Notamacropus eugenii: one gene and its partners. The protein of the gene in region 4 purifies or fractionates together with the protein of the main gene of each other region. This does not show direct contact. Links are inferred from orthologs where the notes say so. Each region holds a gene or a part of one and is shown on either strand. Other genes may lie near its edges. The genes, in order: SPART, SMAD7, PTPN14 and WWP1.

Region 1 (7,965 bases), on a different chromosome or scaffold from region 4:
CCCTTCTAATTTGTGCTAGCATTGGAAATATCTACTATTAGCATCATTCATTATGGATTAAGCACAAGCAGGGAGGAATAAGGTATTAACAAAGTCAATGAAGTTTACAAGTAAAGTGCTACCCACCTACTTATGTAGATGTGAAACCTATACCTACTACTCCAATAACATTTGGTTTCTAGACAAATTCTACCAGTGTGACAAGTAGAAAAAAATCTAGTATCCATTGCCCTGATAAGATCTATGATAACATAAGCCAGTCAGGATGCTGCACCTGGAGACACAGTGAAAGAAAGTCAGATCTGTTGATGATGAGTATTCTAATATCTCCTAACAACTAAGAAATAACTACAGATATCAGATTGTAGTACAGTACTCTAAGTTATCACCACTCAGGGTGATGACTGGAATTCTTCCCCATCTGCTCTTGATTCCCCAAAAAGCAATTCCTTCTGAGGGACTAGGTCAGAATGGCTCTCTCTCCCCATGATATTGCTATACATTTGAATTATGAGATTCTGAATTGGCTTGCTATTTTATAGATCACCCACAGGGTGTGATCAAGTTATCTCTGAATAGCAATATACTTTTTTGGACCCCCAAAAATAAGTGGGATTTTTTTATAATTTAAATTAAGTTGAAATTTTAAAATTTAATTTAAAATTTTAATTAAAAGTTATCAGGCATGTATTTTTTCTCCTTACCCTGCCCCCCCCTCAGTTTAAAAGGAAAAAAAACCCTACCCTTTATAGTAAGTATGCAGATTTTTATAAAATACTCAGGAAAAACAAATCACAAGATGCCTCCCCCAAAAGTCCATTACCTCTCTGTTGGACTGTGAATGAATACTATCTCCTCTCAAACCTTGATGGAAATAGTCCAGGATCTGGAACCCAAGAGCTTTTAGAAAACCATTGCTTTCAGTCCCATGGCCACATCCACCACTCTGGGAAGAAACCACTGTGGATATAGCCTGGCAATTGCTCCTATAGGTACTTACAGCTATAGCTTCTGAAGACTCAGAAAGTAAATTCTTGCCACAAAAGTCCTTGGCACTGTTGAATGGTTCTACATCAGAAACTGATAGGATTGTTATCAGTGAAACATTAAAGAAAAGATACTATAATATGCCTTGCTTCAGTGCCCTAAGGACCATGGGACCTGTCTATCTGGCTTGCAGCTGAGAACTTCCATACACGTTGCCTCCCCCATTAGAACATGAGCCCCTTGAGAGCAGCAGTTCTCTTACTTTTCTCTTCGTATCCCTAATGTTTAGCACAGTTGCTTTGCACATATTAAGTACTTTATGCATTTACTAATTTGGTTTTCTTCTTTGGCCTTCTGGAATCATGGTTAGTCATTTCATTGACTAGAGTTCTTAAGTCTTTCAAAGTTGCCTCTCTTTACAATGTCATCATCATTGTATAAACTCTTCTCCTGGTTCTACATCATTCTACATCAGTTCATTATTTCCAAGTTTCTCTGAAACGATGTTCATAATTTCTTACGCAAAATAAGATTACATTCATATACCATAATTAATTTAGCCATTTCCCAAATTGAGCATATCCTTAGTTTCCAGTTCTTGGTGACTACAAAAAGAGCTACTATACTTTTGTACATTTGGGACATTTTCCTTTTTATGTGATCTCTTTGAGGCATAGGCCTAGAAGAGATATCACTGGATCAGTGATATCAGTGCTTTTTTAAAGCATAGTTCCAAATTGTTCTCCAGAAAGGCTCCCCTGTGTGTATGTTTACCCTGTAACCCAGTATGTATCCCAAAGAAAAGAGAAAAGGACCTATGTGTATATCCACTCTTTTTGTGAAGGCAAAGAATTGGAAATTGATGGGATGCCTATCAATTGGGAAATGGCTGAACAAGTTGTGTTACATGATCGTGATAGAATACTATTGTACCTTAAGAGATAATGAGCAGGATGATTTCAGAAAAACCTGGGAAGACTTCTATGAACTGATGCAAAGTGAAGTGAGCAGAACCAAGAGAACATTGCACACAGTAACAAAATCATAAGGATGATCAACTGTGAAAGACTTGGCTATTCTGATCACAACAATGATCCCAGACAATTCCAAAGCACTCATGATGAAAAATGCCATTCACTTCCAGAGAGAGAACTGATGAACTCTGAATACAGATTGAAGCATCGTTTTTTCACTTTATTTTGCTTATTTGGTGTGTTGTGTGTGTGTGTGTATGTGTTTTCTTTTGCAAAATGGCTAATATGGAAATGTGTTTTGCATGACTTCACATGTTTAATCAGCATCAAATTGCTTGCTTTCTCAAGGACAGAAGAGGGATAGGAGGGAGAGAGAGAATTTGGACCTCAAAATTAAAAAAAAATTAATGTCAAAAAAATTTCACAGATGATTGGGAAATATTTAATGAAATATGTATATGCAGTTATATATGTGTTGTATATTTAAAAAAAAAAGACCACCAATACTTTCAGGATAGAGGCACTCCCTTTAATCTAATGACTTTCAATGACTTTTAAATTGATCAAGGAATTTTCACACCAGACTAAAGGCTATGGTTGACTGGAATTACAAAGAAAAGTTACTAAATTATTTACATCCTTTTACCTGGGACTATTTACCTTAAGAACATTATAGATGAAAAGAAAAGATTCACAGGCACAAAAGCATTCCAGAACAGCAATATTTGTAATAATAAAAAGCTGGAAACAAAATATGTGATCAACAATGGCTAATGTTTTTATGAGACAATGCAGAGTAAAGAAAGCAAAGTCAAAACTTCAAGGACTACAATGTTTAAAAAGGTATGGTGAGAGGCACCAAAACTCTAGTCAAATACTGTTCAATGTTAGAACCATAGTATGGTTCAAATTTGAAGACTATCCCTCCTGTTTTCATCAGATTTGCTAGATGATACATGTAAAATGCTTTGAAAATGCTAAAATGTTATTTAAAAATCATCATTAGGAGTGTTTCTGGGATATTATAAATGGAAACAAAATGTACCAATAAATCTAAAAAAGGGGAAAAGTTTTGTCAACTGAAAATATAAATTTATATATAGCACTTTTAAATTTTACGAAGTGCTTTTTCATCATGGCAGCAGTCCTGTAATGTCCTATTTGCCCCATTTTATAGATAAATAAACTTAGGCCCAGAGAGCCTGACTTGCCTAAGGTCACCCAGGAAGGCTAGTCCCCAAACCAGGTCCATTAATTCTAAATCCAGTACTCTTTGTACATTCCTGCAACTTCAACAGGTTTTACCTTATTCAAACTGTCAAAAGTATTAGCAGGTAACATCTTGTCAAGTGAGGCGGGTAAAGTGACTCAATCAAGCCCCATCTTTGTCCTAAAAGAGCTTTCTATTGCTATGCTTTTCCAATACAATTTCAAAATATCTCTTGAAAGGATCAAATCTGAAAACGTTTAGATCAATGGTGGAAGATTATTTTTTCTCTGTAGGACACTGAGGTCTATCTGTTACCTAAAATATACTGCAGATTTTGAGATACGCTGAAGAAACAGAAAATTCTGAGGGAAGTAAATTCTACTCTTTCCCCTTCCTAGTCAAATGACATTACAATTTTTTTTAATTAAAAGGAAAATTACCTAATTTTTTCATTTACTAAGATTTTTTGACACTCTGAAGATACCACTTAAAATTTTTTTTTTCAATGAACAAAAATCAATTCTCCCTCTCCCTGGAGAAAAAGCAAAAACAAAAAAACCCTTGTGTTGTTCATGTCCCAAAAAATATACATCTCATTCACCACCCTGAATCCATAACTTCTCTGTCAGAAGGTGGGTAGCATGTATAGGCAACACTTAATTTATACAATCTAGTTTACCTTTAATTTCTGTAAAGATAACTGGCATTTACATAGTACAAACCAATGCTTGTAAAATTTATAATGTTTACATACCTACTTCACAACAAGGAAGAAATCAAGACCCAGGGGAGGCTGTCACTCCCATAGCCACAAAGCCAGTAAATGTCAATGGGTGCCCTGATGTCCCCAACCTGCTCTAACACTTGGTGATACCCTTTCCAGGGGAATGTTTTATTTAAAATTGTAATTATTCATTCAGAAAATCTGCAAGGTATTAGACTAACTTGACAACTTCCTCTTAAAAACACAAAATATTTATAGCAAAAGCAATAGAGCACCAACATGTATAGATTATACATATGTATCTTCTAAATGTACAATAATGTACAAATAGGTAATTTGTATTAAACAGATTAAAGCGTATTCCAAGTCTTAAAAGAGCTATATAAAGGCAAGCTATCATCATCATCATAATATATAGTTAATATAGGCATAAATATATAATATATAATTAAATATAATGTAAATATATAATATATAATAAAATATATGGAAATAAATCTATACTATAAATATCAAAAATAATTATACATTATATATAGTACATACTAAATACGTAATAAATAAAAATATATATTAATTATAATACAACCCAAGAAACAAATAATAATAAATACTATTTTTAAAATACCGCCCCCTAACGGAGAAGCTAGAGCCCTACCACTGCCTCGCGCTGCCCGTTTTGCCAGGGGCGCCCTCTAGCGGCCCAAGATGATCGCTCGCTGTTCTACTTCGGACACTCAGGGACTGCAGCTCTGCACTCTAGGACCAAGCGGTCCAGGATGAGCCCGCCCCCTAGCTAGGCTCAGCAGTCTCCAGGGCGCCTGCGCGGAGGGTGGAGGGGGGGGGGGGGGGGGGGAAGCAGGCCGAGGGGAAAAGGGCCTGGGAAAGGAGGGGGCGGGGTTGTGGGAGGCCTAGGCCGAGTCAGTAGTAAATAAAGCCGAAGCCACTGCCCAGGCTTAGGCTCTGGTTCTCGCGCTCAGTGTCCAGTCGCGCGCTCGCTCGTCTCGGTCCTCACCCTAGTCCCAGCCGTGGGTGAGGGTTTTAGCGGTCTTTGGGGGTGAAGGGCTTGGAGCGGAGAAAGGCTACAAGACGGGGCGGAGGTTACCGGGCGATGGGCGTGTGGGAAACCCTGCCGGGTGGGTGACACCCGAGAGGAAAGCTCAGGTTTCGGGGAGCTGGCCAGCAACCCGCGGGCCCTGGGGGAGGGCCGTTGGAAGTGAGCAGGCCGGGAGAACGAGGGTGTCGGGGTGCTGGGTCGAGCCTCTCCTCCCTCCTCCCTAGCACGCTGGTTGGGCGGACGTCACGAGCCCGGCCTGCCCGCGGGGCGGGGGAGAGGAGCGCGGAGAAGTTAGGCCTTTCCGCCCACCCCCACCCCGAGCGTGCGGGCTGCACCCTTCAGACGGCGGCGGGTCCCGGCCGGTCCGTGCCCGCCCGCAGCCGGCTGGCGTCTCCGACTCCGAGGGCCGGCGCAGCCGAGCCCGAGGGTGGACAGGTAAAAGCCGGCGCCCGTTTCTGGCGTAGAGCCAGACGAGACGCGGGCGGAGTGTGTGAGGGTACGCGTGTGTATGCGTGGGGGGGGCGGGGAGGGGGGAGCGCAGGAAGGGGCGTGCCGAACTGCTGAGTCAGCGCCTGCGTCCCCGCCCGCCCCGGGCCCCGGGCCCCTGCCCAGTTCTGGAAAGCAGGGCTGTGCGCACGAGCTGACTGTCCTACCGCGTAGGCATCGGATCCGGTGTAGTCAGCCCTTTGGGGGCTGCTTCCTTGTCTGCTCAGCCACGGACAGCCAGCGGACGGCCTTCCCCCCCTCGCCCCCATCTTTATAAACCCCTGTTTGGGTCCAGCAGGATCTTTGGTGCCGGTGGTTGGTCTTGGTGATGCAGTTAAACCTTTCTTAAGTACCTCCTGCGTGCTAAGCTCTAGCGCTGCGGAGAGAGGCCAGGCAGCGCTGCCTTCGGGGGTTTACAATGTAGCAGACCTGGAACCAGGGGGGACCTCCGGGGGACGCTCGGCCCGTCGGGGATGCCTGCTGGGCTTCTCCGGGTCGTGGTTAGTGGGCCTGTGGTGCAGGGAGCAGCCCCCTCCCTGGTTCTCCCGTTTCTGCCCTGGTGACCTGATGGACGCGCTTGAGGCTGGGCAGAAGCCTCAGGAGCACCACCAGATGTGCATTCGCGTTTATTGTACGTTCTGTTAAGGAACCGCTTGGATTTCATTGGGAGGCGTTATTCTAAGGACAGCGTCTCGAACCTTGTCATTCTGGCTTTAATCATCAAAATGAAGCAGGTGTACTGATTTTATGAAGAACTTACTTGGAAGTGGAAGTAAGCAAAGGAAGTTTTGCTGCTTTTAATCATAAAATTAATATTTAAGCAACATCTATTGGAAGCTGCAGGAGTGTGGAACGCGCACCGGGTTTAGACCTGCGAATTATTAGATGGCTGATCTTGAGTGAATCGGCTTCTGCAAAGCCTAAATTATCTACCTAGAAAATGGGGCTGACAGCACATCACCGGCTGCCGCCTTCATGAAAAAGCACCTTGTAAAACTCAACGTGCTATGTGTAAATTTATTTTTATTTATACATTTTTTTCTACTTACCACACCCCAACAAACACTCATAATGACATTTAAATAATGTTAATATTTTCAAAGCGTCTTACATATATTAGCCAGCCAATTCGCTGAAAACAGGAATGTTTTAAACAAAAAACAGGAAGGATGCAGCCTTCAAAATGAACCATATTGCGGATATAACATTAAACAGTGTATCTGACTAGAATCTTAGTGCCTCACCTTTTAGGCAGTCCCTATTCTTTTGACTTTGCTTTCTTTATTCAGCACTATCTCATAAAAGCTGTTAGTCATTGTTGGACACATATTTTGTTTCCAGCTTTTTGTTATTACAAACATTTCTGTTCTGGGATGTTTTTGTGCCTATCGGTTGCTTTTTTTCCTATCAAAAATCTTCTTGTGGTAAATAGTCCCAGTAGTAGAATCTGTGGGTCAAAGGATGTAAATAATTTAGTGACTTTTCTTGCATAATTCCAAATTGAAATTGAACCTCTGAACAGTTAATGTGTAAAGGTTGATTTTTTTTTTTAATAACTTCAACTTTTTTAAGCTTATCTTTAGTTTTCCCTAATACAGACTATTTGGCACAGTTGTAGAAAAAAATTTATGTAAACAAATGTCATCCACTATTACCAGCATATTAAAAATTACTAAGTGTTCCAATGGATGACATATACATTTTAACCAAAATCATTAAGGATCAGCCTGGATTAGTTCAAGGGATCTTAACCTGGGACCATGGACTCCCACAGAATCCAAGTAATAGGTTTCAGGGGGTCTCTGAACTTGGATGGAAAAAATTACATCATTTTCATTAACATCTCACTAAAATTAAACATTTCCTTCAATTATGAACATAGCCAACATAACATTGTGAGAGAAGACTGCCAAAGAGGTTTGTGACACACAAAGTTTAAGAACCCCTAGTTTAATGTAAACTGGTCTGTAGGTGGCATGGTAGATGGAACACTGGGCTTAAGAGGCTGGAAGAACCAAGTCCAAATGCAGCCTTAGACCCTTGATGTCTGTGTGATTCGTAAGATTATCTGAAGGACGCATGAAATACGAGACGAAGTTGTAATTCATTCTCAAACATACGGAAAGAGTTGAACATCAGCCTTTCTCTTATTCTCTTCCCTCCTCCCCTTCAATTCTCCTTAAGTATTATCACCAGATGGGGAAGTGATGTGAACTTGAATTCAAAGACAATTGACTTTTGAGCTGAAAGTCAGACGAATAAAGGACATACAAAGCTAGAGGCCAGGGACAGTAGGGTCTTCCATACTGCAAACTTAGAAACCAGGGTCCTAAATAGGCTAGTAGGATTCCTGGGGGATAATAGTTGACTTTATAGCACTTTATAGCACATGGTAGTTAAGGTTTACAAAACATTTTTTTCATATATATTAACTCATTTGATCCCCACAACCCTATGGAATAGGTACATAGAACTTATTTGGGGAAACTGAGGTACAGGCAATAACTGGCTTGACCATTGTTCCAAG
Region 2 (6,834 bases), about 160 Mb from region 4:
TCTCCACCCCTTCCCCTTGGAAGACAGGCAATTCAATATAGGCCAAATCTGTGTAGTTTTGCAAATGATTTCCGTACTAGTTGTGTTGTATAGGACTAACTATATTTCCCTCCACCCTATCCTGTCCCCCATTACTTCTATTCTCTTTTGATCCTTTCCCTCCCCATGAGTGTCAACCTCGGATTGCATTCTCCTCCTCATGCCCTCCCCTCCATCCTCCCCCCCACCCTGCTTGTGCCCCTGTCCCCCACTCTCCTGTATTATGAGATAGGTTTTCCTATCAAAATGAGTGTGCATTTTATTCTTTCCTTTCGTGGAATGTGATGAGAGTAGACCTCATGTTTTTCTCTCGCCTCCCCTCTTTATCCCTCCACTAATAAGTCTTTTGCTTGCCTCTTTTATGAGAGATAATTTGCCCCATTCAACTTCTCCCTTTCTCCTCCCAATATTTCTCTCTCACTGCTTGATTTCATTTTTTTTTTAAGATATGATCCCATCCTCTTCAATTCACTCTGTGCACTCTGTCTCTATGTATGTGTGCGTGTGTGCATGTGTGTGTATGTACTCCCACCCAGTACCCAGATACTGAAATGTTTCAAGAGTTACAAATATTGTCTTTCCATGTAGGAATGTAAACAGTTCAACTTTAGTAAGTCCCTTATGACTTCTCTTTGCTGTTCACCTTTTCATGGTTTTTTTTTTTTGAACCCTCAAGAACAGTATTTCTGTCTTTATTTCATAATGCTTAAAGATTCTCTTGTAAATACTGAGCAGGGAACTAAACTGACACTCTGAATTGTCAAGGTCCAGATTCTTCCTTCCCATCTCCATTTCTTCTGTGTGTAACAGCTATATTTCTGATTAAAACTCATAATACTTTGTTGTGGCTGACTCTTTGTGACCCTATTTGGAGTGGTAAAGATACTAGAGTACCATTTTCTTTCCGAGCTTGTTTTATAGATGAGGAAACTGAGACAAACAGGGTTAAGTGACTAGCCCAGGGTCACACTGCTTCTAAGTGTCTGAAGTCAGATTTGATCTCAGGAAGATAAGGAGTCTTTCTGACTGCAGGTCAACACTCTATCAACTGCACCACCTAGTTGCCCCAAACGTGCCAAGCTACTTCATTAGACCTTAGAGTTAGAAGGATTTACAATGGGGAAAATTAAGATCCAGAGAAGAAATGACTTGTGCAAAGTTACATAGACCTGAGATTCAAATTCACATGTTTTGATTCCAGATCCAGGATTCTTTCCACAATGAAAGAGCACCTTTCCTATTTCCAATGAAAAGTTTAATTGAAACACATAGCTGAGAGAAACATGTTCTCTATTGGTATATAGGCATTCTATAGACTGATGTACCTATGCACAGCTTCCCAGAAATGTATTTAGATGATCTCTGCTAGAGAATGATCACACAACATAAAAGGATGTGTTTGAGTTATTTAGTTTTTTCACTCACACCTAATTCTGTCCACCTTTCTATGTGCAAGGCAATTTGAAGTTACTAAAATATCTGAGATAATCTCTTTAATCTCAAACAGTTAACAGTCTAGTAAGGGAGATATAAAATTCTTGCTTTTTAATAACAACTTAAAGTTAACATTTCTTGTTCAGTCACATGAAATCCCCCCATTTTGAATGTTTACTTTTTAAAAACTCATACTACTATTTGTTCCCTGTACATGTCAAGTAGGCAGCTAGGTGGCGCAGTGGATAGAGCACTGGGTTTGGACTCAGGAAGACTCATCTTTTATGAGTTCAAATCTGGTACTTACCAACTGGGAAACTCTGGGGAAGTCACTTAACCCTGTTGGCCTCAGTTCCTCAACTGTAAAATGGACTGGAAAAGAAAATGGCAAGCTACTCTAGCATCTCTGTCAAGAAAACCTCAAATGGGGTTATGAAGTCAGACATATGTCTAAAGTCAACAATGTATGTCAAGCATGCTAGTTTTTTAAATCAATAAATACTAGACATTACTAATGTTTGTATATGAATTTGAAAATATCAACTGTCACCTCCTCAAAAGAATCTTTTCAGATCCTCTTCCCCAAGCTTTTTGCAGACCTCCACACCCAGACATTCCTTTGAATTTTATACTTAATATTTACTTATCTATGTTCTTCTTATTTTTCCCCTTTAGAATACAAGCCCATGGAGGGTAGAAAATATTTTAATATTTATCTTTGTATACTAAAGGGCCCCGTGAAACTGCAGTAGGAGCAAATGTTGGTTGAATTGAACATTACTCCTGTATAAATGTTTTATTAAGATTCTCTGAATTCCATGTGACCCAGGGCAAATCACTTAACCTTTCAATGCCCCAGGCAACTTTCTAAATTACTGAGAAGGTGCGGACCTGCTTTGGAAGTGGGAGTTCCTTCCAGGAAGCCCCTACCCAGATAAGATCAAAAGTCCAGTCCAAAAAGGGGGGGTAGGGGGTTGGGGGAAATCATCTGGATGTTCAGTTCCTCACTCATCACCAACTTACACATTTATTAGGGCTGGCTGTCTAGGTGGTGGAGGAGTAGATAGCACCCCAGGTTTTCGGTGTCTGCAGCACTTAGTATAATGTCTGGCATATCGTAGGCGCTTAATAAATGCTGCTAGTTGACTTACTGAAGAAGTATGGAGAAGATACAATTCCTGATCCTCAGCATCATAGTATCTAAGAGAAACCATCACCATCCATGTCACTAAGGGCATATGTTGCTATATGCATGTCTCCTATAGTGCCATACATTTCAAGGCAGCCGATTCAAGCTTTGGTTACGTTGTGTTCGTGGGGGTTGAATGTTGTGTCTACATATTTACTTACGAAATAAGAAATTTGCAGGTCACTACATCCAGCCTCCCTCCATTCACCCACCTCTTCGTGTTGGGAGTTGCCAAAATCCGCTACAAGCCCCACTTTACACTTCACAACCCTAAATACATTCCAGAGCTGTTCACAATACACACTTCCGATGTAGTTACCGAAACAAGAGCGTGGAGGAGACCGAAAGAAGACTGAGGTCACATTCTCGTCCGGCTCCCCACCCCTAGGCCAGAGCTCTGCTCGTTCCCCTCCAGTGGAGACTTCCTGGGGCTCCAGTCCAGTCTAGTTTTAAATGACTTCTTAAAAGAGGACAGAGCTCCCCCCTCCTCCCTCCGGAGACTGCTGGGCAACAAACCCAATAGATCTCACGGTCAGGACTCTCCATCTCTTTAAATGAATGAAATGGGTTGGGGAGGGGGGCTTAGAGGAAAGATTGGGCCGGAGGGGTACTGTACAGGGGCAACGAACACCCAGACTAGTCTGCTGATGCAAACCCATTCTTGAGTCCTTTTTTTTGTTTTGCTTTTAATATTTTCTCTTTGCTGTAACTCTTCCAGCCGACCTGATTTTATATATGTGTATGTATGTATATAGATAGATACCTATACGCATGCACGCACATATATAGGGAATCAGGTGTTTTTTTCTCTCTCCACCTCCTCTTTTCTTCCTCTCTTTCTCTTCCTTCTCAGTTTCTCTTTCTCTCTCCCCCTCTCTCCCCAGAATTCAGGAGGAGGGAGTAGGAAGGGAAAGCAGGGGGGGGAGGGTGGTAAGGAGAAGAAAAAGAAATAGCTTTTAGAAACCCGATCTGTTGTTTGCGAAACACAATCGCTTTTTTTTTTAAAGCGACAGGGTGTCTAGACGGTCACGTGTCCAGGCCGGAGCCGGGCGCGCCACTGCGCAGTGGAATCAGCGAAGCAGAGAGAGCCAGGGCGAAGTGGGAGGGGGGGTGTAGGGGAAGGAGGAGGAGGAGGAGGAGGAGGAGGAGGGGCGGGGGAGGAGGAGGAGGAAGAGAAGCAGGGGAGTGTGTGTGCAGCAGGCGGCGAGCTTCAGACACACATACATACATACACACACACACACACACACACACACATGCATACACGGGAGCTAGGTCCGCGAGTAGAGCGAGGTGAGAGCCAATACCGGCTGGAGGCAGAAGCTGTTCGGAACCCTCACTGCCCTCCTCGGCTTCCCGGAGTCTTCCCCTCCCCTCGGGATTGCAAAGCACCGGAGCCCGGCTCCAGAAGCCAAAGGCAAAGACTAAGAAGAAGAAGGACACCCCACATTAAAAAAATATTCCCCTCTGCCTTCTCCTGCGAGGCAAAGCCTGCTGGTCCCCTCCCTCCCCAGAAGAAGAGGGGAAAAAAAGGGAGGAGAAAATAGGAGAGAAGAAGGGATTCCAAGCTTTTTTTCTTGCTGCTTGCTGCCCGGCGCATTGAGAGGAAAATAAAAGTCGGAGAGGCCAGAGAAGAGAAGGAGGCGGAAAGTAAGCAGCCACCCTCGAGGGAGCCCCGAGCCCAGACAAGCGACTGCCTGCCGTGCTTTTTTTTGATCTTTCCTCCTCCTCTCCTTCTCTCCTCCTCCTTCTCCTCCTCCTCCTCCTGCTTGCTTGCGTGTCTGCAGCCGAGGCGAGGAGCCTGGGCGAGGAGCAACCCTGAGAGGAGGAAGACACGGTTGCAGTAGCATTTGCTAGAGAGAGCCAGCCAGCCTGCGAGCTAGAGAGCGAAGCCGACGCCAGTCTCACCTCCTGTCAGCCTCGGCATCACCCCCCCTCTCAGATCTGTTTTTTCTCTCATCTCCCTCCTGCAGCCGTGGGGCCTGGAGGAAGTGGGGACTGGGTCGGGGCGGGGGAAGCAAGGCTATCCCTCGGAGATCCACCTCGGAAAAACCAGGAGAGCTAGTGAAGGCTGGTGCAGTTTTTTTTTGGAGGGGAGAGTGGGTGGCTCTTTGTTTTTTTTTTTTCTTCTTTCGCTGAGGTGGTGTTAGGAAGGAGGAAAGACGAGAGGCTCACTTAAAATAATAATCAGACGAGCATGGTGGAAGAAGCCGATTCAAAGCTTCCTTTGGATTAAAAAAAGATACATATACACATATGTATATATCTTTGGCAGAAGAAAAGGAGAGGAAGAAGAACCGAGCTCCTAGAAGAAAAAAAAGGATGTTAACTCTTGGATACATTTTTTTCCACCAAAATTTTTTTTTGTGATACTTTGTAAACGTTTTGTCGCCCTTTTTCTTCTCTTTTTTGAAAACTCCGACACAACCGGACGTCCCCGGGGCTGCGCCTTGCAGTGGTGATTGTTTTAAATTTTTATTTAGAATATTTGGGTTCCCCTCCCTTTTTAATTGAAAAATAATTTTTTCGTCAGGCACCTCATGCGGGGTGAAATTCACTTTCTTCCCCTCCCCCGAACCTTCGTGTGGATGGAATTCGTGGAGATCCGGTTACTAAGGATATAGTGCAAAAAAACAAATTAAATCGCGTGCCTGCCTTTTTTTTTTTAATTGCCAGCTTCTCCTCACCCCCAAATTAAGTTGCTTAGAGAAGGGGAAAAGAGCATTTTCTCCTGATTCAATCAAAGAAACAAAACCTTAAATTTTCCTTTTCCTGAGGTTCTTAGCCTCAGTAAGGAACTGAGGCTGGAGGTGCTGACATTCAAAAGCTACTCCTCTTCGTTCTGCGTTTGGGGGGCAGTGAGGAGAGAAGGAAGAACTACCTCTCCTGAATCCCCGTTTTTTCTCCCTTTTCCTTTGTATCTTCCCTTGGTCAGCCCGGTCTGTTTCCTCGGCGGGGCTGGGCGAGACGACCTGAATTGGGTGCCAGTGGAGCGGGGTGGGGAAGCCGGAGAGGAGCGGTCCCTCCCCTGCCAGGCCCCCCCAAGCCCCCCCACTCCCTCCGGGCTCCGAGAGACTGGCGCATGTTACGGAGCGTCCCTCCTGCCGCTGCCGCTCCTGCCCGGGCTCTTGCTGCTGCTGCTGCTGCTGCTGCTGCCGCCTGCGACTGCTGCCCCAACTCGGCGCCCAAATTCTTCATGGTGTGCGGAGGTCATGTTCGCTCCTTAGCCGGGAAACGACTTTTCTCCTCGCCTCCTCGTCCCGCATGTTCAGGACCAAACGATCGGTGCTCGTCCGGCGTCTCTGGAGGAGCCGTGCGCCCGGCGGGGAGGACGAGGAGGAGGGCGCAGGAGGAGGCGGAGGCGGAGGAGGAGGAGGGGAGCCGAGGAGGGAAGGGGCGACGGACAGCCGGGCGCATGGGGCTGGAGGAGGAGGCGGCGCTGGTAGGGGTGGCTGTTGCCTGGGCAAGTCGGTCAAAGGTGCCAAAGGTCACCACCACCACCATCACCACCACTCCTCCTTGGGCGCCGGCGCTGCCGGGGGCTCGGAGGCTGAATTGAAGGCGCTAACCCACTCCGTGTTGAAGAAACTGAAGGAACGGCAGCTGGAGTTGTTGCTGCAGGCGGTGGAGTCCCGCGGGGGAACCCGCACCGCCTGCCTCCTCCTGCCTGGCAGAGTGGACTCCAGGCTGGCCCTGGGGCAGGGGCCTCCCGCGTCCCCTCTCCAGACTCAGCCTACCCAGCCTCAGCCGCCGCCGTCGTCTTACTCGCTCCCCTTGTTGTTGTGCAAAGTGTTCAGGTGGCCAGATCTCAGGCATTCCTCGGAAGTCAAGAGGTTGTGTTGCTGTGAATCTTACGGGAAAAACAACCCGGAGCTGGTCTGCTGCAACCCTCACCACCTTAGTAGACTCTGCGAATTAGGTAAGGAGTTTTCACTTGCTTCAAGTAAAGCTTCTCCCCTTGCCAGTGATGGAGCAAACAGAATTGGGGTCTATACTTTTTACAACTGTGTGATTGCATTCTTTTCACCCTGCATTGCTAGTGGGGAAAATGTGTGCTTATAGTGAGGATGCATTGTAAGGGGATCCGGGGGCTTGGACTGATGTGTACTGTGCCTTCTTCCTTTTCTCCACTCTTCAGGCCCGTGAGTATGATTTGGCGTGCATATTATTCA
Region 3 (7,862 bases), on a different chromosome or scaffold from region 4:
GGCAAACAGGGTGAAGTGACTTGCCCAGCGTCACATAGCTAGGAAGTGTCTGCGGTCAGAACTCAGGTCTTCCTGGCTCCTGTACAGAGTACCATGGAGTCAGGAAGACTTATCTGGCCTCCACTGGACACAACTGAGCAACAACCTGTCTCTCTTCCCTTCCTCAGGTGATAAAAGCTCTGGAATTCATTTTATTTGTTGAATACTTACAGACAAAACTAAAATAATAGAGTAGGATGTGGATGAAGGAAAAGAAACAAGGGAGAAGTAGGTAGTGTTTTGAATAGAAACCAAACCTTGCCATCAGGAAGACCTGGGTTCAGGATCCACCACTAACAAATACATGCTGTGTGACCCTGGACAAATTACTTCATCCCTCAATGCTTGGAGGCACTGAGAAATTAAGACTATAACTGGGTAGAGAAGCAAAGCTGTTGTGCAGTGATAAAGGGAGCTTTCTCACCAAGAGTTCCCTACATCAAAGACATTACTAGTCCAGACCAAAAAGAAACAGAAGGTTTCACAGGTAGTCCATAAACTGAACAACCAGCTCCTGGATATTCAACTGAATATCTTTAATCCCATTCAAAAAGACCTAGATTCCAATAAGAAAATAAAGATATAAGAGGAACTCATCTCAGTATCTCACCCTCACCTAACAATTCAAGAAAAATTAAAGTCTTTATGACACTTGAAACTTCTGTTATCTTTTTAGTGTACTGAAAGGCTCTTCCATTCTTGGCTCATTTACATGCTGCTGCCTGCAACTGAAATGTTTGTCTAAACTTAATGTCTACTTTAAGTATAACTGGCTAGAAAGACTTGTCTTCACCAACCACTCAGATCATACACCTTCAAGGAGAATCTTCACCAGTAGGTGGAGAGGCAAAGACAAACACAAGTGGTTATTTAAAAGAAATAACCACACATTTTTCCCAGTCAGATGCCTGATGCATAGAAATAAAATCACAAACACTAGCATGGCACAACCACCATGCACAAGACTCAGGCACTAATCATAGTAGTGCTATTAATAAAAGCAGCATGTTACACAGGAAAGGGCACTAGATTGACAATCAAAAAGAGCAGAGTTCCATGGCTAACTCTAGCTGATTATCAGTCTGATGAACCTGCCCAAGTCTCTTAACCCCACCCCCTCTTGTGGAATGCATATAGTGTATGTAAATATGAGTGTATGTACACATTATATATGGTGACATATGATATCAGCCCTACAAAGAGCAGTTCATTTAAAAACAAGCTACAAGTTGACACTTGCACTTATTATGATACCATAATAACCTTCTAAATTAGCGACCTTATACAGTATAATATCAGGCTAGAGCATAAAAAGCTGTTATATTCTGTTCAACTTCCTACATGTATCAATCCGTCCCTAATAAAGTTTCAGGAAAAAGAAAGTGGCTCTTATAACTGTGCTGCAGCAATAACCATAGCATTTCTAAGTGAGAAGAGAGTGAGCATTACTGACAAAGCACTCACTCTCACCAATGCATGACAAAGGCAAAAGTACATTTCAGATGTTCTTTGATCTCTATAGTGCTTACACAAAATAGGCAAGCCATTGGGCTTACTCCTAAAATGGATGAGCAGTAGCAAAGTCCCCACTGCTGCTACAACCTGCCACTTCACCGCTCTAAGAAAAGGTGACCGCAAGGAAAGGTGGAATAACGCAGCTACTGACAACCTCGACAACCTGCAGCCCATAGTAGAGCTCAATCCACACCTGAGGACGTATGGGCATAAAAGTCCCTTTCATCAGGTTGATTCAAATCTGTCTGTGCCCTAAGTCATCTCTATCACTGGAGAAAAAGGCTTCTCCTGACCTCTAACCTTTAACTCAGCCCCTACTTGACTGAATTTTCCTGTGGTTACTAAATCTTGATTTATTCTATCCTGGGTATTTTTTTTCTTTCTGTATTTGATGGTTGAGGGGAAAGAACCATCATTTCTTTTTCAAACTGATCCGCAGAGGAAAAAGTAGTACACTGTCAAATATCCTTGCTGCAAGAGCCCTTGGTTGCAGAACTAGAAGACGTCCCCACTGGAAAGCAACAAGTAAGAACCCCATGCTTCCGTCCTGAGTTCTCGCCTTACAGAGAGCAAACAGAAAAGGGGGCAGAAAGCTAGGTGGACAGCACATTTTACCTTTCTGCTCCCTCCAGGTGAGACGATGCTAAGCCTCCAGCAAAGTGTCCCCCTAAAAACTGTTTTCCAATGAGGAAGGAGTTGTTAAAGCTCAATCCGTTTTGTGGGGGATTTTTTTGGAAGAGGAGGAGTGAGCCAGAAAAAGTTTGGTCCCAGACAAATTTCAAAGATACGGGCTACGGGGCCCAAAAGAGCTGTTGGCAAACATGGGGCCTAGTGAGGGGCAGGAAGAAACTTCTCTATTCACCGGGCTTCCCCGTAGTGGGCTAGGCGGCGGGGTGTCACACCAGAGGAGTCTGCCTCCCCTCAGTGGAAGAGAACGTTCTAAATCCCTTATCACTCCCCCTCCCCCAACAACGTGGATATCTTCAGAAGGCAACCCTTCCCCCCAAAACTCAAAGGAGTTGAAGGAGGTTTCGGCTGATCAGACCCCTGGCGACCTCCAACCCTCACCAGGCAAGCTCTGTGCCTTCACTATGAGAATAATCCAACTGGCCAGCCAACTCCTGCACCAGCGGAGGCGTCCGTCAGTCCGTCCGTCTGGTCTGTGGCCGGCCAGAACGCAAGTTCGCTCTCCAAGTGTTTGCCAAAGTCATCTGCAAGCAGCGGCGGAGCTGAAAGCCAGCCTCCCAAAGCCCCTCTGGGGCTCCAAGCAAAGGCACGGACACCGGAGCTCCAAGCCTCAGCCAACACGCTGTGTGTTACGGACCCCCACACTTACCTGCTTACACGTCCCCCCCGGACAGAGGTCCCGAGTCCCCCACGGAAAGGTCGGCGGCGGCAGAAGCTCCAATTCCCCAAGGAATTTATTACAGTGGCTGATTTGGGAAGGGGAGGGGGGAAGTAGTTGGAGGAGGAGGAGAAAGGGGAGGGAGGTTTCCGCTCGGATCAAGCGAGGAGAGTCCAGGAAGGGAAGGGAAGGGAAGGGAAGGACCGGAGAAGGAAAGGGGGAAGGAGAGTGAGAAGAGAAACCTAGTCATCCAGTGTGGGTTTTGTTCCGCGGCCGGGAGATCCCAAGGCTTAAGGCCCGAGAGGATGGGGTGAGGTGGGAGGCAGAGGGAGGGCCCGCTAGCAGCTACTTTGTGTTTGCTCTCCCAGGAGGACTGAAGGTTGGAAGAGGGGACGGCGGGGCGGAGGCAAAAATAAAAAGTTACGGCAACCTGCCCCAAGAGCTGCTCACGTTGCACTCCGGGGAGGGAAAAGTTTGCCCTGACTTTCGTGGGCTAAGCAAGCGAGAGCTGCAGGAAATGCAAGCAGGGAGAGGGGAGGGAGGAAAGGGGCCGCTTGGGGGAGAGAAGGCGAAGCAGGCGCCGGGGGCAGCGGCGCCCCCACCCCCCAACGCGGCTGGACTCCGAGGCGCTGGGGTGCCGGGAGGAGGAAGGAGGGAAGGGGCTCGCGGTGGGGGGCGGAATGGAATGTGGCCCGAAGAGGAGTCCCAAGGGTGTAGGCTTTGCTGCTCTGTGAGCGCGCCTCTGTGTGTGTGTATGTGTGTCTGTGTGTGTGTGTGTCTGTGTGTGTGTGTGTCTGTGTGTGTGTGTCTCTTTCTGCGTGTGTTTGGAACACGAAGCTGGAGCTCCCTAGCCGAAGCAGCCTGCTCAGTGCGCTGAGCTCTGGCCTTGGGGACGTCACAGAGCAGGAATCCGTGGAATGTGGGGCTGCTGGAGCTCCTGTTGCAGGGCCGGTAGATGTCCAGGGACTTCTAAATATTTTGCTTTTAGGAGGGGGGAGGGAGGGTGGGGATAGTGAGAAGAGGTCGAGGTGAACTACCATCCAAGAGTCATAAGCTTCAGAATGGAAACGGGGAAAAAAATACCCTAGCTGGAAGAACGTTGCAGCAAAAGTGCAGGAAAGAAAAGCCCACCTCCGTCCCTGAGGGGCGGAGCTACAGGAGGGGCTTGACCAAACCCTCTGGGAGAGACCAAATATACCCCCCTTTAAGGGGACCCTGTGCCTGGTCACCCCACGCACAAGCTTCCAGGAGCATCTGACACCGAAGAGAGCATCTCTGAGAAAGCAGTGGACCATTGTATCCTAAGCATGCTTAGTGGCTTTCGGCCAGATTGGTCTTAGAGCATCAAGGACCTAGTCTCCTTGACGACCCCCCCCCCTCCGCTTATAAAAAATGCATATAAATAGAAACATAAATGGAATGTATCTTTCTTCCTGATCATGTGGTACCACATAATTGCTCCACCCGTGGGCTTGGCACTGGAAGAGTATTTCCCTAAATCTTTTGGAGGTGATGTTGAAGTAAAGCAGTATGACGGGTAAAAGAAGCCCTGACCACAGTTATAGGCCTGGCCCTTCCACACTGACTAAATCTACGACCTTGGGCAAGTCCGGACCTTTTGAGACTAAAATGATGGTTGGAGCCCTCTCAGATTTCTTATACTTTGGGTGGTAAGGGGGAAGGAGAAACAGCAAATATCCCCTGATCATTATCTAATCACAATTTTCTATTCTTCCACCTCTCCAACTATTACATTAAGCCTGTTCCTTAGCCTAATTAGGACTTTCAGTTCTTTGACCCATTCCTAGTCTCCTATCCGATCTCTGCTTTATTTGCTTACTATTACTGTCGCTACTACCCTAGAATCTTGTGTACCTCACCCGCCCCACCCCACCACCCACACACCTACTGCCATTCCAGACCTGTGAATCTTCATCCCCACAGTCCAATGGTTTGATCCAGCTCCAAAGTCACAAAGCATAGATTGAGGTAATCAGTCAATCAGTTTAAAACAGTTATTAAGCATGCTAGAAATACAAAGAAAGGGAACAACTGTCCCTTCCCTTACTGCTCTAATTCTATAAGGAGAGACCACATATAAATAAGTACTTACATGATACATACAAATAACTTCATGTGGGGGAAGGCACTACCAGCGGGTGGAGAAAGAAAGTCTGCTTACACAAGGCAGGATTTGAACTGAGTCTTGAAAGAAGTCAAGGGAACTAAGAGGTAGAGGTGAGGAGAAAGAGAATTCCTGGCATGAGGGAGAGACATGCAAAGGTATGGCTATGGAAGATTGAGTATAGTACTCAAGGAAGAACAAATAGGTCTTTGTGGCCAGAAGATTGAGAGCTTGAAGAGAGGCAAAGTTTAAGAAGACTGGAAAACTAGGAAGGGGTCAGGAGATTAAATACCTTAAAGACTAGGATACTTATATTTTATTCTAGAAGCAATAGGAAGCCACTGGAGGTTACTGAGAAGGGAGGTTACATTATGAGACCTTTGCTGTAGAAAAATCATGAAACAGCTGACTTCACTACCACTACAAATTTGTTACATAACCTTAACTGGACCTTTGATAGTGATCCACCCTCCTTCAGTATCTTTTATTCATTCTCCATTTTTATTTTCCACAGTATATTTTAAGCTTTCTCTCCTCCTCTCTACACCACAAGCCCTCACATTTACAGCATATAATCTTGCTTCTGAGTCAGTTCATCGATAAACATTTATTAAGTGCCTATTATGTATATCCCAGGCACTCAGTAGGAACACTGAGGTAATATGGTGGTGTAATGGAAAGAGTATATATCTGGAGTCAGGAAACTTGGATTTGAGATCCTGGTTTTATCACTTACAGCCTCTGTGACTTTGGGAAATCACTTTATTTCTTTGTCCCTCAGTTTTCTGTCTGATGATGAGAATGAAGTAGTTATTGGTGTCAAACTCAAACAGAAATGGGAGCCACTAATCATGCATAAAGATCCCTTCAGGTGCCATATTAGCTTAGAAAAACATACATGTTCTTAGATTTCTTTTTTTTTAATACACCAATGCATTAGAATCAGATAGAAAGTGATTCAGATCACTCTCAGAAGTGTTTTGGGCTGCTTGCTGCCTGGGGACCCTGTGTTTGACATTTGTAGACTAGGTGACCTTGGAGATTTTTTCCAGTTCTAAATCTGTGAACTTATGACCTCTCCCAAAGTCCCTCCTCCTTCTTCAGTACTTGGCAGCATCATATCCCCTTCTCTCCTTTCCTTTGGTCACAGAAAAAGTATTGCCAAGTCCTCATCTCTAAGAATAATCTTCTACCTCAGGGGTGCTTAACCTGGGTTCTGTGAACTTGGATTTTTCATATAAATATATATATATACACGTATGTATATGTATGTATGTGCATATATGTATATATATACACATACACACATATGTGTAACTATTTTAGTAAAATTGATTTCCTTTGTAATCCAATGTATTTTGGTTTATGAATTTTAAAACCTTCTAAGGATTCTCTAGGCTTTGCCAGGCTGCCAAAGGGAGCCATAACACACAGAAAAGGTTAAGAACTGCTAACCTTACCTGTTCCCTACATACATTCTCTCTCACTTCCTCCAGGACCTTATTCTAGTTATTGTTGTTCAGTGGTTTCAGTTATGTCTGACTGTGACACCATTTGAGGTTTTCTTGGCAGATAATGGAGTGGTTTGTCATTTCCTTCTCCACCTCATTTTACAGATGAGGAAAGTGAGGAAAACAGCGTAATGTGACTTGCTCAATGTCACACAGCCCAGATTTCAACTCAGGAAGATGAGTCTTCCTGATTTCAGACCTGGCACTCTATCCACTGTGCTGCCTAACTGCCCCCTCATTCCAGCCCCTTCTTATCTTATCCCTCATTCATCCCTTTTCTCCTTTGAATATCTTCAATTACCCCCTCTCCCCTTGTTTCTTCCAAACTATCTAATAATATGATTAGGTCTCCCTAACTTAAAGTTTTAAAAAAAAAGCTTTCTTTGGATTTTTTTAACCCATTCAGATACTGTCTTCTCACCACACTCCTCTACATTACTTGGCTTCTTGAAAAGTTGGCTATATGCAGCATCTCCATTTCTTTATTTCTCTTCTACCATTTACATTCTGATTCTTCTGAAATTGTTCTCTCAAAGATTACCAGTAACCTTGTGATTGTGGAATTCTACTTGATTTCCCTCTGCCTTTTCACCAAGAGTGTGCTAGTAAATGTTTAACAAACAGCTTTCTAGTCAGGGGAATGAACATAAAACACACTATGTTTCATCTATTCTAACATTTTCTCAGTCACTTTTTAGGTCTAGACAAGCACAAAAACAATAAATCAAGCCTGATTGCATTTACTGATTTCCAAAGTCTAAATGCTCATACTGAAAAATAAATTGGATCCAGGTAGAAGATGAGTCCAGCACATGACTGCTTTTAACCAAGTTAACCATTTCCTTTCGGAAGTACTGACTCCTATGCTTCAGAGACACATTTATATTTTTGTTTGCTTCTTACTTCTCTATTTCTTCTCTTTCTCCTTCCCTGGATACTCAACTCCTTTTTGATCTCTTCTTGATCTAACCTCAAGGGTCTGTCACATGGTTTTCAAGTCTTTATCACCTCTCTTCTGAGTTTCATATCTGCTTCTTCAATTGAGTTCAGATATCCAACTGAATGTCTCACCACTACCCCAAACTGAAGATGTTCAAAACAGAATATATTGTCTTTCTTCCTATTATCAGTCCTCTCTTACTTTTTTTGCACAATTTCTATCTTTTACCCCATCACCCAACCTTTTTTTCATGTTTATAACCTTGGGGTTATCTTTGACCCTTTTCTCTCCTTCAGCTCTCATAATCCTAGAAATTCCACCCCCAAAATATCTCACAAATTCATTCCCTCCAGTTTATTCTCATTTTCATCACTCTAGTGGAAACGC
Region 4 (7,598 bases):
CCTTTCCTTCCTATTTTTTTCCAAGGTAACATCATCCAATCACCAGGCTGCAACCTTGCAACCCAAATGTCATCCTGGATTCCACACTTTCACCCATATCCAACTGATTGCAAAGTTCTGTTTCTACCTTTATAACATCTCTTACATAGGCTCCCTGTGCTCCTACACTACCACCACCCTGGTTCATGATCTTATTACTTCATGCACCTGCTATTGCAATACCCTGCTGATTGTTCTCCCTGCTTCAAGTCTTTCCCCATTCCAGTCTACCCTCCACTCACCTGTCAAAGTAATCTTCCTAAAACAAAAGTCTGACCATGTCAACACCCCCTTTAACCAACTCCAGTGCCTCCCTATCACCCCTAGAATGAAATATAAAATCCTCTTTGACTTAGAAAGCCCTCCATAACCTGGCCCCTTTCTACCTTCCATTTTTTTTATACCTTACCTACCTTCCCCCCTCCCCCATGAAGAAACTGAGATCCACTGACACTGACCTCCTTTGCTGGATTTTTCCCCCTCCTGAACTTGACACTCCATTTCTGGATTCCAAGTTTTTTCAATGGCTGTATTCCACAACCTTAATTCTTCCTTCTCAACTACACCTCCTAACTTCCTTGACTTTCTTCAAGTTATCAGCTAAAGTACCATATGCAGCAAGAAGACTTTAAAGATTCCCCTTAATGCTAGTGCCTTCCCTACCTTAATGATCTCCAATTAGCTGTAATCTTGTTTGTACACAGAGGTTTGTATATGGTCTCCCAAATTAGACTGTAAGAACCTTAACAGAAGGGATTGTCTCTTGGCTTTCTTTTTATCCCCAGCATTTAGCAAACTGCCTGGCACACAGCAGGTGCATAATAAATGAGTTGACAGACTAAGGGCATGGAATTTCATTTTTGTCTTTCTTTCTCAACACGGGACACAATGGCTGAAACATGGTTAGTCCTTAGTAAATACTTGGTGACTGATTTATTGTAACTCAAAATGATGCTTTTGGAAGACAAAACCTTTTTTACATTGAGTTATAAAAATAGTACATTATAACCATACTATTAACGTTAAAAACAAAGGAATAAAATTTATGCATTATTTCTGTATCTCTTCCAAGGTCCAGGAACTTAAAAAAACTTACATAACTGTATTTCAATATAATTGGTTTTCTAACTAAATAGGCAGCGCAGGGGATAGAGCACTGTACTTGGAGTCGGGAAGTCCTGAAATTCAAGTGTGACCCTGGGCAAATCACTTAAAACTTCTTTCTGGCTCAGTTTCTTCAACTGTAAAACGAGAATAACAAGAATTCCTAACTCAAAGGATTGCTTTGAAGATCAAATGTGAAAAACATTTGTAAAGCCCTTAGGACTTAATGTCCAGCACACAGTTGGATCCTCATAAATGATTTTTCTCCCCACTCCCATCCCACCACCCAAAATGCTTGTTCCTCTTTCATACGTATTTATTTTATGCATTTAAAAACATTCTGAGAAGGGGTTTATAGGCTTTATTGGACTACCAAAGGAGTCCAGTGAGCAGTCCCTATCAGTTCACTATTAAGTTTAATTTTTTTAAAGCTAACTAGCTAGGAATTATTATAAAGGTCACTTCTATGAAAATTAACTTGTCATTAAGTATTTTGCTACTTAAAATCACCCAAATCAAAGTCTTTCTGAAAGTCACTTTCTTTTGAATGTTTGATACACTGTACTTCTGATTTCCCTGTTTAGTTTAAATTAACAGACTTAGTGGGGCAGTGTGAACCTAAATTAACAGTTTTCCACGTATGCCATTTTTCAAGAAGCTACAGACTAAAATAAACCTATATGTGCAGTACACACTAGATGTTTCTGGTTACAGAAGTCAAAATAATTTCTTTGTAAAGCTTCTCTTCTTCACACCTACCTCTAATGTACTTTATGTGTTATGTGGAAATAGAAATCACTTCCCGCTTTATTCATGTTTGCCTACACAACACAAAACATTTTAAAAGGAGAAATCAAAACCAGATTACTAGAAGTCCAGAGAAGCAGGAATGCCAAAGCAAATGGACAATGTTTCTTCGTCAATGTCTAAGACAACCCAAAGCAGACACCCCCAAAGAGCGCTCCGATGCCAAAGGGGTGATGGAGAAACGACACGGACGAAACATTGGGAGGGGGAAGGGAAAGAGAGAGGGAAGATGATATTGTGGAGATGAATAAAAACGGCAAGGTCATGGGGAACCGCAGGGTCACAGAAGGGGGTGCGCCAGGGGAACGGCGCGGTGAAGTCTGCGGAGCAACACCAACACGCCACGGAAAAATGCTGGGCTCGGGTGGGCGCCCCGGACATGGAAGGTGAGGAGATTATTAAAAGGGCGACCGAGGGAGAGGCAGAGGCAGAGACGGAGCAGAGAAGCCGGCAGGCAGCCCGGGACCGCGGGCGCACGAAAACACTCTCCCCGCTCCGGGACACGAACGCGGGCCTCTGGCGGGTCCCATTCAGGAAAAGACCCACGAACCCACTCGAGAAGGAGGACGAGCGCCGCCCTCCCCTTCCCCGGAGCCCTCCTTCCCGCCCCCTCCCCGCCTGGCCCGAGGGGGTGGGAGCACGGGGGCGGCCAGGGGACGGGGAGGGCCCGAGCCCCGAACCCCAGCCCGGCCCGCGAAGGGACGCCCGCTGCGCCGCCCGGGCCCCGCCGCCCGAGCCCCGCCGCGTCCTTACCGAGGCTCGCGGCCGGTCCGCCTCCCTCGCCCGCCGGCCCGGGAGGTGGCGGCGGCGGCGGCGCCTCCTCTTCCTTCAGTAGCCGGTGGCGGCTCTCCTCACCCCTCGGAGTCAAGGATGGCCATCTCCCAGCGGCACCCGCCCGGCGTCGGCCCCTCGGCGGTGCAGGCCGCCTGCAGCCGCACGGACCCACGGGCAGGGGAGACCGCAGACCTTGGGGCCCCCTTCCCCCCCACCCCAACCCTCAACCCCGAACCCCGCACCGCCCGAGTCCAAGCCCACACCTCCTTCCGCGGGAGCGAGCGCCGTCCGTCCCCTAGTCCGCGGCGCCGCGCCCCGAGAGCGCGTCCCCGCCCCCCGTCACTATGCCCGGGAGCACGCGCAGCGGCGCCCCATCCACTCCCCTCTCCACCGCACTCGGGAGCGCACTCAGAGGCTTTCCCCCTACCCCGCCGTCCTCTCGCGCGCGTCCTGCCCGGGAGCGCGCGGGGCGCCGCCACGGCCGCCGCGGACAAATCCGGGCTGAGCCAGAAGCCGGCTCTCTGAGCATGCGCAAGAGCTTCCACCGGGACACGGCTCCGAGTGAAAGCTTTAACTTGTCCTGGTCTTCCCAGCAGTGAGGGGGCGTTGGGGGTGGGGGGCGGAGGCCGTAGCGAGCGCTGAGCGGAGGACTGAACCTGAAGAGGGGCGGAGCTCCCGCGGAGACCCGGGAAAGGAAGCGGGGCAGAGCCGGGGCTCCGACTCTCAAGTTTGCCAGCCGGAGCGCTGGCTTCAGTTGGAGAAACCCGAGGCACGGCCCAGCGGCGGGAGCGGAAAACGAGCGGGACGTGACCCCAGGCCCCGCGCGAAGGACGGTGTCCGCCACCTCTGCTGGATCACCCCGCCCCCCGGGAGGCCCCAGGCCGGAGCACCTGGCCTCACCTGGCCTCACCTGGCCACGACCGGCGACCTGGACTTCAGCGGGATCGCTCCGCCAGGGGCACTCGTTCTTCCATCTGCAAGTCGAAAAAGCGTTCTCTTTGCAGATACTTGCGGAAGTTAAAGCCGTGGCTCCTTCCCTCCCCCAGCTTTGCGTGATGAAGGCATTCCTCCCAAAGTTCTGCGAACGACAGCCCCGGTCTGAGCTGCCTCAGCCGAGGCCTCTGTGGGAGAGGGAATGGGATTGAGGCGGCCCGGTGCACCCGCTCTTCAGAAATAAGGGAACAGCCCCAAGAAGGAATCCCCAACAAGCAGTGAGTGTGTGGTGGCTGCCCACGTGTTCTACCCGCGCGGCGTGGGCCCGGGCTGCCCCCGGGTGACCAGAGATCCCGAAGGCATTTCAGGAGGAGTGGAGCTCCACTTCTGTGGAGAAGAGAGCCCTGTCCGTGTCCTTCAGTGCATTTGCAGTCTAGGGGTATGGCGTGTTGGGGCTCAGGATTGCTAGGGGAGAGAGGAGGAAGGCAAAGTGCTTGAGTAGTACCAACCCAGTCTAGCGGATAAGAACAAGTTTCATGTCAGCCAGCTTAGCTCTCCTTCCAACCCTATTACACAGAAGAAGATTGGCAAACATGTAACTGTATCTGATACATTTTTATCACACTGTCCTAGTTTAGGAGACCACCCGAGCCCATTCAGGCACAGGTGCTACAGTTATAATAACACTATTAGCTAAAACGTAGTGTTTAAGGTTCGCAAAATGCTTCATATAGACTATTGATAGGGTACAGGCTTCTGGGAACCCCCTTGAACTCTCCTTGAATCTTCAGTGGATCTGGCCTGGCCCTAAGCCTTTCATTACCTCCTTGTCTAATTGCCTCTGGTTGCTTCCCATCCTTGATCCCATCAAAATACCGGTAATCTAGCCTAGCCCTCCTCTGTCTGTTAGCTCTGGACTGCCTCTGTCTGCTTCCCATCAAAATCCCACTGTCTTGGTTTTGACCTCTAATCAGCCCAGTCCCATCAAAGCCTCCTTAGACTTCTCCTCAAACCCTCTCTAAGCCCCTCCTCCCATCACCCCAGACTATCTGGCCACCCCTAGATTCCTCCCATAGCCTTTCTGTATATAAACATCTTGCCTCCCTGAAGGTGCTAAGATTCTATCTAGCTCGGATTCAGTCTGGCCCATTTGTCAATACAAGTGTCACAAATGCTTAGGTTCCTTAAGAGTCTACCAAATATGGCCGGTATTTAATAAAATTTACTTTTCTTTGGCTGAAAGAAGGCTTGAGTCGAATTCATTCAGACAGGACCTGGCGTGTTGGTATTTTGGGGTCCTAAGCACCCCTAAGCCTCAACACAATCCCATTTGATCCCCACAGCAACCCTGTGAGGGAGTTACTATAATTATTATAACTGGTATTTATATGACACTTCAACGTTTGTATTGTACATATTTTATCTCTTTTGGTCTTTGTCACAACTGTATCTTAATTGATGTGTTACTTGGTAAATATTAAGTTGTGGGTATAGTCACATAGGTATCATCATCATTTTAAAAACTAAGAAAATGAGGCTGAAAGAGATTAAGTGAAGACTAAGGTCACATAGTTGGTAAATGTCAGAGCAAGATTTCCACCCAAGCTTTCCTACTGCTATTGAATGCCTACATATCCAAGATGATGTGAATCAAACCGTGGGAGATTCTGTTTGTCAGTCCATACTTCAAAACCTCAGAGATCTGTAATGTCATCAGTATAGGTATATCCTTCTCTGCTGCAGAGTACTATACCTCTATAATTTAATAAATGGTATTTCAGAGTTGCCATGGCCAAAAATTCATCACTGTTTGGCCAACTAGATAATAGACCTCTCTAAAATTAGCTAAACTTGTCCTCTGACAACAGCTATAAAGCCCATCACAAGACCTATTCTTGAAAATTTTCCAGCTTCAAGTCCAACTTGAATCAGTAGAAATATAAAATTCCAGAGTTGGAACAGACTTCAGAAGTCATTTGGTTCAATTTGTTACATTTGAAAATGAAGGTAAACTAAGAGACAAAGTTCCAGGTATCATTAATTTATTAGTTAGGCCAACAGTAAACAATAAATTGGGTCTATGGTGTCTCAGTAACCAAAGACCTTGAGTGAGGACTGACAGGGTCTTTTGTAACAATTACTAAGATGACAGAGCAAAATCTTGAGCAGTACAGATGTGTCTTCTGATTGGCTATTGATGACATAGTCAGAATTAAGATTATATCATTTCTTTCTCCCCTTCTAAAAGCCCCTTGTTGTTATTCAGTTGTATTTGACTCATTATGATCCCATTTGGGGTTTTTGTAACAAAAATATGGGTGTGACTTGCCATTTTTACAAATGAGGAAACTGAGGCAAACAGGATTAAGTGACTTGCCCAGGGTCACATAGGTACTAAGTGTCTGAGGCTGGAATTGAACTCAGGAAGATGGGTCTCTCTTGCTCCTGCCCCGCAGCTGCCCCATTTACCACAACCAAGATAGGTGATTTGAGTCACAAGATAAAGATTCTCCTCAAATGGGAGTTGCTACAATAGCTTAAATTGATGAGATTTGACCTTTTAGGTTATTCAAGTTTCTTTGGAAAGTGGGTGATAGGTGGGGTTACAAAGATAGGGGTAATTACAAGACAAAAGGTTGACCAAGTTTCTCTGGGATGTGGTTAGTGGGTGAAGGAACAGTGAAAGGGAATATTAAATACATCTTGATTACAATTTAGCTTAATAGAATTAAAATAAATTTTCAATTTTACATTCTTAGTCAAAGAAAAATTCCCAAATATAAATTCAAGGCACTGTGTCAAGTATTATGGCTAAAAAGATTAAAATAAAGTAGACTTTGCTCTCAAAAAGCTTATCTGCTGCTGGATAAAAAAGCATATATACAAATAAATGAACACAAAATGCAAAACAGGTAAATTATAAAGTGATTGGAGGGAGGGGAGTGCGGAGGTTGAATAGAGCCCTAACAAATGGGAGATCAGGAAAAGCCTCGGATTTGAAATAACATCTGAGCTGGACCTTGAAAGGAGCCAGCGAAGTGAGTGAGGGCATTCAAGATGTAGGGAGAGTCTATGCAAAAGCCTAGAGGTAGGAGATGGAATGTTGTATCTACAGAACAGCAAGTGGGCCTATTTGACTGGCATGAAGAAGTTAACGTAAAATATCTAGAAAGATAGACTGGGACGAGATTATGAAGGGCTAAATATCAAGCAGAGGAATCTCTGAATTTTTATCTTAGGGGAAATAGGGAGTCACTGGAATTTCTTGATCAAGGAAATGACATGATTAGAACTTTGCTTTAAGAGTACCAATTTGGGAACTATATAAAGAATGAATTTTAGAGGGAAGAGACTGGAAGCAGATGACAAATTAAAAAGCTATTGCAACAATCCAATTGAGAATTGACGAGGAACTGAATTAAAGTGGTGGCCATAGGGAGTAGAGAGAAAGGGAGAAATATTAGAGATATTGTAGAAGTAGGATGAACCATTTATATAAACCACAAAGCACTCTTTACAGAAATAAAAGGAAACAAATAATTGAAGACATTCAGTGGTTGTGATTTAGCTTTGCCATTGTAATAAAAATGATGGCACTACCTAAATTAATATACAGATTTAACTTTAATAGCTATTAAAGCTTAAAACTACTAAGACATTTGGGACATACATCATAAAGCTAGAAAGAAATAACAAAATTTATCTAAAAGAACAAAAAGACAAGTGTCTCATGGGAAATACAATGAAGGAAGCATAACATTATTAGACCTCAGACTACATTGTAATTTAGTCACAATCAAAACCAGTTAAAAAATAGAAAAGTGGGTTAGTGGGACAAACTAGACAAGCAAGAACAGGAAGTGAACAAATACAGTAATCCAATGTTTAATAAACCCATGAACACAAATTACTAGAATTCCTAATTTGATAAGAATTACACT

The links.
Region 1: the proteins of WWP1 (region 4) and SPART purify together in Homo sapiens (affinity purification with mass spectrometry; 5 studies listed by BioGRID and IntAct, counting the BioPlex papers as one, with this or other methods). This does not show direct contact. The link is inferred for Notamacropus eugenii from reciprocal best matches to the Homo sapiens genes WWP1 and SPART.
Region 2: the proteins of WWP1 (region 4) and SMAD7 purify together in Homo sapiens (affinity purification with western blotting; 3 studies listed by BioGRID, with this or other methods). This does not show direct contact. The link is inferred for Notamacropus eugenii from reciprocal best matches to the Homo sapiens genes WWP1 and SMAD7.
Region 3: the proteins of WWP1 (region 4) and PTPN14 purify together in Homo sapiens (affinity purification with mass spectrometry; 3 studies listed by BioGRID). This does not show direct contact. The link is inferred for Notamacropus eugenii from reciprocal best matches to the Homo sapiens genes WWP1 and PTPN14.

What each region holds. Positions count from the first base shown.
Region 1 is NC_092876.1:206,168,830-206,176,794, reverse strand, and holds the start of SPART (spartin), read left to right. Parts: upstream 1-4,956; 5' UTR 4,957-5,006; coding exon 5,007-5,031; intron 5,032-5,264; exon of another isoform or gene 5,265-5,448; intron 5,449-6,019; exon of another isoform or gene 6,020-6,185; coding exon of another isoform or gene 6,186-6,210; intron 6,211-7,965. UniProt on the Homo sapiens protein: Lipophagy receptor that plays an important role in lipid droplet (LD) turnover in motor neurons.
Region 2 is NC_092875.1:323,885,682-323,892,515, forward strand, and holds the start of SMAD7 (mothers against decapentaplegic homolog 7), read left to right. Parts: upstream 1-3,832; 5' UTR 3,833-5,926; coding exon 5,927-6,581; intron 6,582-6,834. UniProt on the Homo sapiens protein: Antagonist of signaling by TGF-beta (transforming growth factor) type 1 receptor superfamily members; has been shown to inhibit TGF-beta (Transforming growth factor) and activin signaling by associating with their receptors thus preventing SMAD2 access.
Region 3 is NC_092873.1:423,312,903-423,320,764, reverse strand, and holds the start of PTPN14 (tyrosine-protein phosphatase non-receptor type 14), read right to left. Parts: upstream 3,006-7,862; 5' UTR 2,891-3,005; intron 1-2,890. UniProt on the Homo sapiens protein: Protein tyrosine phosphatase which may play a role in the regulation of lymphangiogenesis, cell-cell adhesion, cell-matrix adhesion, cell migration, cell growth and also regulates TGF-beta gene expression, thereby modulating epithelial-mesenchymal transition.
Region 4 is NC_092875.1:168,486,700-168,494,297, forward strand, and holds the start of WWP1 (NEDD4-like E3 ubiquitin-protein ligase WWP1), read right to left. Parts: upstream 3,016-7,598; 5' UTR 2,704-3,015; intron 1-2,703. UniProt on the Homo sapiens protein: E3 ubiquitin-protein ligase which accepts ubiquitin from an E2 ubiquitin-conjugating enzyme in the form of a thioester and then directly transfers the ubiquitin to targeted substrates.